2 linked regions of the Cricetulus griseus genome follow. The protein of the gene in region 2 interacts with the protein of the main gene of each other region in a biochemical or structural test. Links are inferred from orthologs where the notes say so. Each region holds a gene or a part of one and is shown on either strand. Other genes may lie near its edges.

What was found.
Region 1: the proteins of Ddx39a (region 2) and Sarnp form a complex in vitro, tested with the Homo sapiens proteins (2 studies listed by BioGRID). The link is inferred for Cricetulus griseus from reciprocal best matches to the Homo sapiens genes DDX39A and SARNP.

What each region holds. Positions count from the first base shown.
Region 1 is NW_023276806.1:129,080,548-129,086,885, forward strand, and holds part of Sarnp (SAP domain-containing ribonucleoprotein), read right to left. Parts: intron 5,422-6,338; exon of another isoform or gene 5,374-5,421; intron 4,789-5,373; coding exon 4,689-4,788; intron 4,606-4,688; coding exon of another isoform or gene 4,464-4,605; intron 1-4,463. UniProt on the Homo sapiens protein: Binds both single-stranded and double-stranded DNA with higher affinity for the single-stranded form. Specifically binds to scaffold/matrix attachment region DNA. Also binds single-stranded RNA. Enhances RNA unwinding activity of DDX39A.
Region 2 is NC_048596.1:160,698,986-160,705,988, forward strand, and holds the start of Ddx39a (ATP-dependent RNA helicase DDX39A), read right to left. Parts: upstream 4,483-7,003; 5' UTR 4,326-4,482; intron 1-4,325. UniProt on the Homo sapiens protein: Helicase that plays an essential role in mRNA export and is involved in multiple steps in RNA metabolism including alternative splicing. Regulates nuclear mRNA export to the cytoplasm through association with ECD.

The DNA of each region.
Region 1 (6,338 bases), on a different chromosome or scaffold from region 2:
GAGATCTGGTGCCCTCTGCTGGCCTGCAGGCAGAAGACTGTATAGACTGTATACAATAATAAATAAAATCTTAAAAAAAAAAAAAAAAAACTAATTAGGACAGGGTATGGTGGTGCATGCCCTGTAATCCCAGCATTTGGAAGAGCATTTGGGAAGATAGAGGCAACACAATCAGTAAACTCAAAACCATTTGAAGCTACAGAGGCCAGCTTGGGCTATATAACATCTTGTCTCAAAAACGCAGCAAAAAAGGTGCGTGCGTGCATGCATGTGTAAAGATAACACAGTTCAATTCCCAGAACCCACATAAAAATTCAAGTATGGTGCTGGAGGACCATTGTAACCCCAGACCTGGGGAGCCAAGCAGAACTAGATTCTAGTGACAGAGCCTGAGTAAAATGACGAGGTGGACGGCTCCTAAGAGCAATACTCAGGGTTGATCTCTAGTGAGTGAGAAGCAGAGAGAGCAAGAGAGAAAAAGAAAAAATGTGTTACAGAATAACCAAGAAAATACCTTTGAAAATGGTGGAAGACTAGAAAGATGCCTCAGCCACTAGTGACCAACAAGCAACTCCACTACCTGTAACCTCAGCACCAAGGAATTTGACACCTTCTACTGGCCTCCTCAGACACCCAAACACATGTACATTCTCTCTCCATGTACATTCTCTCTCTGTGTGTCTGTGTCTGTCTGTCTGTCTGTCTGTCTGTCTCTCTCTCTCTCTCTCTCTTTCTCTCTCTCTCTCTCTCTCTCTCTCTCTCTCTCTCTCTCTCTCACACTCTCACACACACACACACACACACACAGGTGGTGAAAAAATTATTTTCAAAACTACGTACTTCTACTAAAGAACACCAAGGGGAAAAAACATAAAAGACCAATGACAGAGATATTTGTGTTTAAAACCAACAAGGTAGCCCCATGCCTGCAATTCTAGCACTTGTGGGCAAAAACAAACCCACAGAATCAGGAACAAAGAAAGTTTAAGAGAGACATTTAAACTTTCCTCATGGAGAAAAGTATATTAAGACCAACAAATTAGCAAAACTAGGCCACTTGATAGGATAATGCCAAATACAGGTTTGTGTAAATAAAAGAACCCTGAGTGGGCTGAAGAGACGGCTTAGTGGTTAAGGTTTGGTTTCCAGCACTCATATGACCACTCACAAACCATCCATCTTTATTTTAACTCCAGTTCTCCTTCTTCTGGCCTCCTCAGACACTAGGCACATACACGGTACATTAATATATACGGGCACACACCCCTACAAATGAAATAAAAATATCTTTTCTTTTAATTCACTTAATTTTTTTTGAAGCATATGGGTGTTTTACCAGCATGTATGTTTGTGTACATGTGTATAGTGCCCTCGGGGGCCAAAAGAGGCATCATCCCTCAGGACTGGAGTTCTAAATGGTTGTGAACAGTCATATGGGTGCTGAGAATTGAACTTGGGTCCTTACAAGAGTAGCTAGCACTCTTAACCAGTGAGCCAATTCTCTAGACCCAAATGAAATCCTTTTAAAATAAATATTTTTATATTTTAAAGAAAAGAACACCACCAAAGCTATACAGAAAAACCCTGTCTTGAAAAAAATGGGAAAAAAAAAAAGAGAAAGAGAGAGTAGAAAAGAACACTGGCCAGGTGTAGTGGCCAACACCTTTAGTCCCAGAACTTGGGAGGCAGAGGCAGGTAGATCTCTGGGAGTTCCAGACCAACCTGGTCTACAAGAGCTAGTTCAGGATCTCTGTGAGGTCAAAGCCAGCCTGATCTACAGAGCTAGTTCCAGCACATCTAGGGCTGTTACACAGAGAAACTCTGTCTCAAGAAAACAAAACAAAATCAAAAAAAGTTAAAAGAACCCTGATATCCTAATGAAGAATATAGATTTATAAAGCAATTTTAGGAAGCAACCTGGCAGTGCTAAATCATATTAAATATTTATACATTTGTGGATATATATATATATTATTACAATCCTAACCTGGATAGAGACTACATAATCTCACAGGCACATAGAGAAAAGTAGTTCATAAGAGAATATTACATCCTAGAGCAGGGCTTTGGTGGTACATGCCTTTAATCCCTGCACTCGGGAGGCAGAGGCAGGTAGATCTCTGTGAGTTCCAGACCAACCTGGTCTACAAGAGCTAGTTCAGGACAACCTTCAAAGCCACAGAGAAACCCTGTCTCGAAAAAAAAAAAAAAAAAAAAAAAAGAGACAGAGAGAGAGAGAGAGAATATTACATCCTAACAATATAGTAATAGATAATGTATAGTACTATGTATGATTACATACTAATGTCATTAAATCCCCTAGGGCTTAGAGGAAATATAGGTGACTACTATCAAGGAATGGAACAAAAAACCGTGGTGACTTGGCTAGTGAGATGGCTCAGATGTTTGCTACCAAGTGTGGTAACATGAAGTCACATGATAGAAGAACCACATGATAGAAGAAGAGAACTGACTCTGCAAGTTGTCATGTGACTTTGAGATGTGCACCATGGCATATGTACATATATACAAACACATACACATAAATATAATAAAAAAAATTTTAAATGTGGTGCCTATATATCACAGAATGCAACTCTAGGAATGAATAAACCACATAACCACAAAACCTCATGCCACAGATACAAGTTTTAGTTTGTTTCTGTGCATGTGTGTGAGTATATATGCACGGGAGTACACCTATGTATGTGTGGAGTCCAGAAAAGGTTAAGCATCCTGTTCTAACATGGTCTATTTCATACCCTTGAGACAGGGTCTCTCACTGAACCTGGAGCTCTCCAGTCATAAAGCTCCAGGATCTGCCCACTGCTACTCCCCAGGACTGAGGTTAGAAGCCTGTATGGGTACTAACTCAGGCCCACATGCTTATGCAGCAAGACCCTTACCCACTAGATACAACTTAAAAAAATAATAGAGAAAAAAGTGAGACAACGTAAGGCTATGAACTCATTACCAATGATAGAAACTAACACTGTACTAAGCAACCTATCTTATTTTATATGTTGATTCTTTGTATGAGTATGTGTGTGGTGTATGTATACATGTGCACACGGGGAGGCCATAAGGTGTTCTGCTTGATTGCTCTCCACCTTATTCCTTTGAGATGGGATATCTCATTGAACCTGGAGCTAGTCTGGTGGCAGAAAGCCAGGTCCTCATGCATGCACAGCAAATACTCTTATCCACTGAGCCATCTCTCCAGCCCCTTAATGTAGCTTGAATATCAGATACGTAAGAATGATGTCTAAGAGTATTGAAAGGAAGTGAAATGAGGAATGGGAATAAAAGAGAATAAATAAAATTTAGAAAGATGTGTACAAACTGGGATGATAATAAGCACCTTATGTGAGAGGGGTGCTTTTTTATATTTTCAAGATAGAATTGGGGGATATAAGGTCTAGGAAGAGCCAGAGATTACATAGGTTAAGGATTTCAAGGGTCCAGGCACTTGTTTTTGATACTGTGAAAGCTATGTAAACAGCGACTGTCCAAACATATTTAGTGAACTTCTGCACAAGATAGACTAAAATTAAGGCCTTCAAATTTATTTATTTATTTCTTTGTTTGTTTGTTTTGGCGGAGGTGGTTTTCAAGACAAGGTTTCTCTGTGCAACAGTCCTGGACATCCTGGAACTCACTTTGTAGACCAGGCCGGCCTCAAACTCACTGAGATCTACCTGCCTGTGCCTTCCAAGTGCTGGGATAAAAGGCATGTGCCACCAGCGCCCAACACCTTCAAACTCTTAAACTAGTGATAGCATCATATGTATGTATGTATGTATGTATATATGCACATATGAATATATATATATACATACATATATATATACATATATATTTATTTATTTATTTTTTAAGGTATAGCCTCACCAAGTTGCTCAATTGGGCTTCAAACTTAATTCTCTTACTTCAACCTCTCAAGCAGCTGGGATTACAGGACTGGCTAATTTTTTAAATATTGCTTATTTTATTTTTTATACATATGAGTATTTTCCTGCATGTTATGTATATACATCATGTATACCAGAAGAGGGCATCAGATCCCCTAGAACTGGAGTTACAGATCGTTGTAAGCCACAATGTAAGTGATTAGAAATGAATCCAAGTCCTCTGCAAGAGCAACAAATATTCTAAACCACTGAGCCATCTCTCCTGCCCCCTCCATGCTGATTTTTAAATAACATGGTAAAATAATCACAGCCAAGAGGAAACAAGACAAGATCCTATCTCTTTAGGGTAAAACAAAAATATTTTAATACACACACATATTTTTGTTTTGTTTTGTTGAGACAGAGTCTCACTCTGTAGCCTGGGCTGGCCTCAAACTCCTGATTCTCAGGCCTCTGCCTATGGGGTACTGAATTACAGACATGTACTACCACATCCAGCTCAGCCAATAGTACTTTTTGTTAATTTTTTTTTTTTTTGAGATAGACTCTTACTTTGTAAATCAGATTGGCCTTGAACTTGAGGCGATCCTCCTGCCTCTGCCTCCCAAGTGCAAGGATTAGAGGCATGAGCCACCATGGCCATCTCTAAAAGTTTTCTTGATGTTGTTAATTTAGACCTTACATCACCAATGACCTAAGAAAGGAAGAAATCTTTTAAGTGTCAGAGCTTGAAACTTATTGCTTCACTCACATCATGTCCCCCCACAAAGTACTCACCATGTTCTTCAAGATATGCCTGGAGCCTATTGATAAGATCCTGTTTTATTCCCTTGGTCTCTAAACCACGAGCAAGGCATTCTTGCTTTAGTTCAGCAAGCTGGGAAAAGAACAAACAAACAAACAACTTTTTAAATTCCTATGAATGAAAAGAGGTGGTTCCCACAAGAGAAAATGATGATGATGGTCAATTCCCAACTTGCAAGTACTATCCCTGACCAAGACACTGAATCTACAAAGGTAGCTTAGTTTTCCTTTAACATTCAATATACAATAGGACTTTCTAACATACAATGAAAAAAAAAAATCACACTTAAGTAAAATTGTAATCAAAAGATTACTCTGCCAACAACATGGGGGGGTCAATCTTCAATCAGAAAATCTAGTGTCCTCCCTCCCAACCAGCTATGGCTGGTATGGTAACAGTGTGTCTTTCCAGCAGTTTCTGTGTCAGAAGCCTGGTTCTCAGTGTAGTTGTGCTGGGACTACTAAAAGGCACTCGCCTTTAATCCCAGCACTCGGGAGGCAGAGGCAGACAGATCTCTGTGAGTTCAAGGCCAGCCTGCTCTACAAAGCTACACTGAGAAACCCTGTCTTGAAAAACCAAAACAACAACAACAAAAGGTAGAGCAGCCTGACCTAGTAGCAGGAGGATCAAGAATTCAAGGCCAGCAAAAACACCCACCTCTACCCCCACAAAATGTGGAGCTTACTGGGAAGTGTTTAGGACATCAAAGGAGACACTTCATTCTAGGAAAGAATTAATATAGTTCTTTTGGTTACTTCTCCAAACAGCAGGTCCATAGAAAAGAGTAAGAGTGGCCAGGTTTGGGCCTGTAATCCAGCACTTGGGAAGTGGAGGCAGGAAGACCAGGAGTTCAACACCAACACAGGTCAGCTTGGACTCATTACATGAGACCCTGTCCTGAACTCTCCCTAACCTCTGGCCTTCGATCCTGCCATGTAATGGAGCCTCAAAATTGCTGCCACCATTATGTAATTTACTATGAGCCTGTTACCAGGACAACACTATTATTGAACTTTTGGTCTCCAAAGTTGGTAAATAAATCTTTGTTCTTTATAAAGCACAGCCTCAGGTATTTTGTCACAATGGTAGAAAACTGACTATAATAAACACCTATTATCCCAAAAGTATTATTACAATATACCATTCAAACATCTATAAAAATAATCATTGTAGGGGAGCTGGAGAGATGGCTCAGAGGTTAAGAGCACTGATGGCTCTTCTAGAGGTCCTGAGTTCAACTCCCAGCAACCACATGGTGGCTCACAACCATTTGTAATGAGATCTGGTGCCCTCTTCTGGCCTGCAGGCACACATGCAGGCAGAACACTGTATACATAATAAATAAATCTTTAAAAAAATAATCATTGTAGAATTAGATTGATGCATTAGGTGGCTTAATGTCAACAATGAACTAACTAAATAAAGGATCTATCTATATCACCAAAGAAGGAAATTCACACACTTTTTAAATCAGTAAAAATATATACTTACCAATATAGTGTTGGGTAACTGACAAAACTAATAGAGAAGATACCCACATCAGCAGTTTCAAAATTGCCTGTAACTTCAGCTACAGGGAATTTAACAACCTCTTCTTTCCTCCTTGGGCCTCTTTTGCCACC
Region 2 (7,003 bases):
GACAAGCTCCCTGTCACTTCATTAATCCCTCAAACACCAAGTACAAGGCATACACCATCCAGGTTTGTCTTTTGACCTCCCTGGTCTGCTGAAATAGTTCCTGAAGTCAGATGCTGACACACTAGGACCTACTTCTGGCTCTCTTATGTATTCCCTCTGTGACTTTATCCAAATTCAGCCATTTCTTTATTTTTACTTTATATGCACTGGTGTTTTGCTATGGGTGTTGGGTTCCCTAGAACTGTAGTCACAAACAGTTGTGAGCTGCCATGTGGTTGCTGGGAATTGAACTCAGGGCCTCTGGAAGAGCAGTTAGTGCCCTTAATCACTGAGCAATCTCTCCAGCCTCAAATTCGGCCATTTCTCTGCTAAGGTTCCCCTACTTTATCTCCAATTATATGACTTTCACTCCAGACCAGTTACTAATTGCCTTCTCCTATCCTTAGGAGCTGAACTCCAAGAGGCCTACAACAAAGCTTGTGTTTCTCCTCAAGGCCCACATCCCCCATCTCATTCATTCCATTCTGAGATAGTCTTGACTGAGCAGCAAATCCCATCCAGTGAATTCAACTCACCAAATCCAGGCAAATCTACCTAGCCACTTCTCCAATAGGCTACCGTGCTGGCCCCAAGTTGAAGCTGCCTTTCTTTGTTTCTTTAAAATTGGAACAGCTTTATTGAAATAGTTATCTGCTATAAGATTCACCAAAGTAAACAATTCAGGAGCCAACCAACATGGTGGCATCAGCACATTCAACCTTCTGGATGAGCTGGAGATGGCTCCACGGTTAAGAGCACATGTTCTTTCAGAGGATCAGGATTGGATTCCTGGTGCCCACATGGTGGTTCACAACCACCCATAACTCCAGTTCCAGGAGACCCAATGTCCTCTTCTGGCCTCCACAGGCATAAAGCATATCAGGCAAAGCATTCACAAAAAATACTTTAAAAAAAGAAAAAAAGGAGTCTCTGTGCCTGGGGGTGTGGCTCAGAGATAGATGCCCAGCATGTGAGACCCTGGATTTCATCCACCAGACCACAAAGTGAAACTACCTTTGTACCCTTTAGCCATCACTGAACTCCCAGAACCATCAATCTGCTTCTCTCTCTGCAGACTAGCCTTTTCTGAGCATTTTCTATAATAGCATCATGAGGCCTTACTTTTCCATTCTTTCACTCTGCACCGTTCTCAACGCTCATCCACAGTACAACACGAATCAGCACTTCATTCCTTTTTTTGTCCCCTTTGTCTTTTTTTTGGGGGGGGGGTGGACACAGGGTTTCTCTGTGGCTTTGGAGGCTGTTGTCGTGGAACTAGCTCTTGTAGACCAGGCTGGTCTCGAACTCAGAGATCCTCCTGTCTCTGCCTTCCCCTTGGTCTTTAATGAGACATTTTTTTCCTTTTTATGGCCACACAATCTTCCTGCCTGTAAGCATATCGCATGGGGCCGTTTGGGTAACATCTGTCTGGATTACAGCCTCTCAGTGTCCACTGATCCCTATCCAGTACACAGCTCCCACAGAAGGCACGCACTCCATCTAAATCAAATCTGGCTCTCATCACTGTGCTGTTTAAAACAGGCTGAGGTTGGGCCTGCAGAAATGGCTCAGGAGTTGTTGCTTTTGTAAAGAACACAAGTTTGGTTCCTAGTACCTATCCACAACTATAATAGTTCCTGGGATCTAAGCCTTTTGGCCTCTTTGGGCACCAGGCAACTCAAGTGGTGTACGGCACACACATGCAGGCAAGAGTCACACGTAAATTTTTGAGTTGGATTTTCTCTGTGTAGCTGATTGTCCTGGAACTTGCTCTATAGCACTTGGGGGGAGGAGGGTCTCAGAGTGAATATAATAATACACCATTTGCCATCACCACAGCCAAATAAAATATTTCCAAAATGTCAGGTGGTGGCAAACATCCTTAATAACAGCATTCAGGACAGATGCAAGCAGACCTGAAGAGTTTCGGGTCAGCCTGGTCTACACAGCCAAGGCCTACATAGTGAGACGTTATCTCCCTATCTCAACAACCCCCCACCCCCCACACACACCTTACCACATGCATGGGTCATGATCTCCCCTCTCCAGCACCATTTAGTTGGGTGCTTATTCTCCAAAAGTGTACTTCTGTTAGCATCAATTTAAAAGAATCCTTCTTAGCTGGGTGTGGTGGCACACACCTTTGAGCCCAGCACTCGGAAGGCAGAGGCGGGCAAATCTGAGTTCAAGGTCAGCCTGGTCCACAAATTGAATTCCATGCCAAGGCTACACAGAGAAATTCTGTCTTGAAAAATAAGCAAACAAAAACACTCATCTCGCCAACCTGATCTCATATGTAGAAGAGGACCTGGCAGTCAGCAGCAGTGGTGGTAAATGACTGGAACTACAACTAGGGCCTTAAGGCGGCAAACTTACACCAGTCCACTGCAGCAGCAAAGGGACAGGTTCATTTGCCAGTCAAGAAAGGTTACTACTCAGTAGGAAAGGGCAGGATTCCCCAGAATCCACATAGAAGTGACAAATTGTCCCTCTGATATAGACAAATACACCACATACACAAAAAGTGTGTGTGTGAGGGGGGGGAGAACATGGATGGCACACACCTTTAATCCCAGCACTCTGGAGGCAGAGACAGATCTCTGAGTTCCAGAACAGCCTGGTCTACAAGAGCTAGTTGGAGGACAGCCTCCAAAGCCACAGAGAAACCCTGTCGCAAACAGCACCCCCTCCAAAAAAAGAATTTGCTCAAGATGGAGTGGAGCATAAGGCCAACAGCTGGGAAAAACAGGCATGGAAAGAGAATTATCCAGGGGCAATAAGGAGGACACCAAATAGGTCAGAGCCATCCCCGGGTAGAGTAGAACCAGACATCTCTGGCTCAAACATGTGAATGGCCAAGATGGTGTATCTATTTTTATTTGAGAAAGGGATTTATGCAGGACCTAGGCCAGCCTTGAATTCCCGATCCTCCTATCTCAACCCCGCCCCCCCCCCCAAATGCCCAGTCTATACTAAAATGAACTTTAAAATTGCCTGGGCAATTTTTCCAGTGACCTCCAGGCCAGCCAAGGCTACATAGAGATCTTATTTCAGCAATAAAAAAAAAAAAAAAAAAAAAACCTTGGGCATTCAGGACAAGAGAGGTGTGGCAGACCGGTTAAAACGCTTGATGCTTTCGGGCGATTTTTCAGTTCACAACCACCTTCTAACTCCAAGTAGAGGTTCGAGTCCCTCTTCCGGCCTCCAAGAGCACCTGCACACAGTCATTCACACACCCACGTGAATAAAAAATTCAAGGACAGCCTCAACTTCATGAGAACCTTATGGCCCCCTCATACATATGTACTGTTTTGAGGCAGTATAGATCTAAAAACGTTTCTTGTCCTAGTTAAGGGATAAAGGTGAAGCCGAGCGTAGTGGTGCACGCCTTTAATCCCAGCGCTCCGGAGGCAGACACAAGTGGATTTCACTGAGTTCATAGTGAATTCCAGTGTACAAAGATCCTGTCTCAAAACACGAGATGGGGCTGAGCGTTGGTGGTGCATGCCTTTAATCCCAGCACTCGGGAGGCAGAGGCAGGCGAATCTCTGAGTTCGAGGCCAGTCTGGTCTCCAGAGCGAGTTCCAGGACAGCCTCCAAAGCTACACAGAGAAACCCTGTCTAGAAAACACAAAAAACAAACAAAAAACAACAGCAACAAAAAAAGATGGGATACACCAAATGTTTCAGGAACGAGTTGGGGTGCTACTCGGAGCGGATACCCACAAATTCGTCAGGCCTGGGTTCCATCAGGTACAGAAAATGAAACAAGTGAACCCAGGAAGTGGCTATCCCAGACCTAAAGTTTCAATCAGGGCCAGAGAAGATGAGATGCAACCGGGCTGAGCCGCCTCACACCGGGAAGGCGACACCGGGTGAAAGACCCGGCTCCTGTGAGCCGCCACACCGGCCTCCCGAGTCTGGAGGAGAAACCTCCTGGGAAAGCGGCAAAGGAAGACAGGAGGCAGGTGACTGCAGACTCTGCCCACGAGGGCCCGGGTCGTCCGGCTGCGACCCGAACCCCAGCCTGAGGCCGCCCTCTGCATCAATCCCGCCACGATACACAGGCCGGCCTCCGAGGGCCGCCATAACACCGTTCCCGGAAGCCGACACACTAACGGCTGGCCCGCCCCTGGCGCATGCGCGCGGGAGCCCAACGGCCGCCAGCTCGAGGTGGGTTCCTAACCGCCCTGCCGCCTCGCGCCCACTCCTCCCGCTGCACCGCGGCGTCTTCAGCAAACCCACAGCCCCGACTTGCGGCCCCGAGCTCGGGACCCACCACTTACCTGTCGCCCGGTTCGCCTCCGCGAGCTGCGAGGAGAGCCGTCCGTCTGGTTGTACGTCGCGCCCCTGGACGCGAGCGGCAACGCTTCCTGTCTGCGGCCCGACTCGGGTCTTGCTCACTGGGCCGTTGACTTATCACTCAACTGAGGAAAAAGTGATGATTGGTTTATAAGGACGCTGTCGGCCGGCTATTGGTGAAAGGGGTGAAAGAGGGCGTGCCTGCAGCCTCAGGTTCATTGGGTAATCAGGAGTGGGCGTGTCCTATGGGGCTGAGCTAAGCTGCGGCCCCGCCCTGGCCCGTCACGTGAGGTGAGTGTAGGGCTAAAAGGATGCTGCCATATTTAGTACTGGCAACCGCCTGTTAATTGCCCATGCTTGTGCCCCACCCTTTTAAAGTGTAGTTTCCTGCTGTCATAGAATTTTTGACTCTTGTCTGGTGGGTCGGTTGGTTGCTTTTTTTCCAGACAGGGTTTCTCTGTGTAGCCCTAACTGCCATTGAGCTGGTTCTGTAGATCAGGCTGGCATAGATCCACCTGCCTCTGCCTCATGATTGTTGGGATTAAAGGTGTGTTGCCGTCACCACTTGACCCAATTTGTTTGTTTTTTGGTTTTGATTTTTTTCTTTTCTTTTCCTTTTTTCTTTTTTGGGGGGATTTGAGACAGGCAAGGCATGTGCCACCACTACTTAGCTCATTTTTTATTTATTATTATTATTATTATTATTATTATTTGGTTTTTCGAGACAGGGTTTTTCTGTGTAGCTTTGGAGCCTATCCTGGCACTCGCTCTGGAGACCAGGCTGGCCTCGATCTCACAAAGATCCGCCTGCGTCTTCCTACTGAGTGCTGGGATTAAAGGCATGCGCCACCAACGCCCAGCTCTTTTTTTTAACCCTTAAAAAGAAATTAAAAAGCCGGGTGTTGGTGGTGCACGCCTTTAATCCCAGCACTGGGGAGGCCGAGGCAGGTGGATCTCTGTGAGTTCGAGGCCAGTCTGGGCTACAGAGCGAGTTCCAGGACAGCCTCCAAAGCAACACAGAGAAACCCTGTCTCGAAAAACAAAACAACACAAAAAAAGTTAAAAAAAAAAAAAACAAAAACACAAAACTCTTTTACTCCTACGTTGTATACACTGGACTCAGTTGGTCTCCTGCCTCAGGTTCCCTAGTAAAAGATCACTACTCCAAAAAAAAAAAAAAAAAAAGCATTGGCCATAACCTTAGTTTATAGCTCCAGAAAGCCAGCTATTTGGGGATTACAGATGATACAAAAGAGACAACAGACCCTGCGTTCTGAAAAGGTAAACTTCTCCATTCTGCCCTTTGTTCTTCTCCCTTCCCCATCCTTAGCTACAAAAACCCGGTCTTGAAGCATGTTATCTGCATTGTCTGGAACTCTGGTCACTGTGTTGCTGGGTGCTACAACCTGATCATGGTGCAGTCAAATACTGAGAGAAAATAACCAGATAAAATAAAGCCTACTCCAGCTGCTAATATCCTCTAAACTCCCCTTTATTTCTTTTTTTTTCAAACATAATTCTTGTATCTAGTAGCTGGGATCACAGGACCTACCTTGACAGTAAGTAATAAACAAAACTTGTTTGGTTGTTTTTTGTCAAGACAGGGTTTCTTTGTGTAGCCTTGTCTGTCCTGGAACTCACTCTTTCGACCAGGCCGGGCTCAAAAATCACAGAGATCTGCCTGCCTCTGCCTCCTAAGAGCTGGGATTAAAGGCGTGTACCACCACTGCCAGGCTGCTAGGGAGGTTCTTAGAATTTTCTCTGTATTTGGTGGTTTGAGGATGGAACCAAAACTTAACATGCTGGGCAAACCTCTGCCGCTGAGCTACAGCCAGTCTCATTGTTTTAATCTGGTCTTGGGATTTGCTTTTTAGATTAATTTTTAAAATATTATTTGTATGATCCTTTTGCCAAGATATATTATGTGTACCACATGTGTGCCTGGTGCCACTCAAGGTCAGAAGATGGCTTTGGATCTCCCTCGAACTGGAGTTACAGACTACTATGAACTGTCATATGGGTGCTGGGAACCAAACCAAATAAACCAAATAATTTATTGTTTATTATTGTTGTTGTTATTAGGTTTTTTAAAGACAGGGCTTCTGTGTGGAGCCCTAGCTGTCCTGGAACTTGCTCTATAGACCAAGCTGACCTCAAACTCAGAGATCCACCTGCCTCTGCCTTCAAAGCACTAGGATTAAAAGCATGTACAACCAGCTGGGCGTTGGTGGCGCACACCTTTAATCCCAGCACTCGGGAGGCAGAGGCAGGCGGCTCTCTGTGAGTTTGGTCTACAAGAGCTAGTTCCAGGACAGCCTCCAAAGCCACAGAGAAACCCTGTCTCGCAAAAAAAAAAAAAAATGTGCACCATCACGTCCACCTGACTCTGGTTTTGATTGTTTGAGCTAGGGTTCATGTAGCCCAGGCTGGTCTGAAAACCTTTAATTCTCTGAAAACTACACAAAGGTAGAAAAAGGAGAGAATAGATCCCTGATAGTCATCACCTGACTTCTACAGGTGTGCTGTAGAATAGGTGTATACACACACACACACACACACACACACACACACACACACACACACAGACACCTCCAAATAGGAAATGGATCAGTGAAATATTTTGTTCTCAAGGACACATTCATGATAGCTGTCTGTGTTGTGG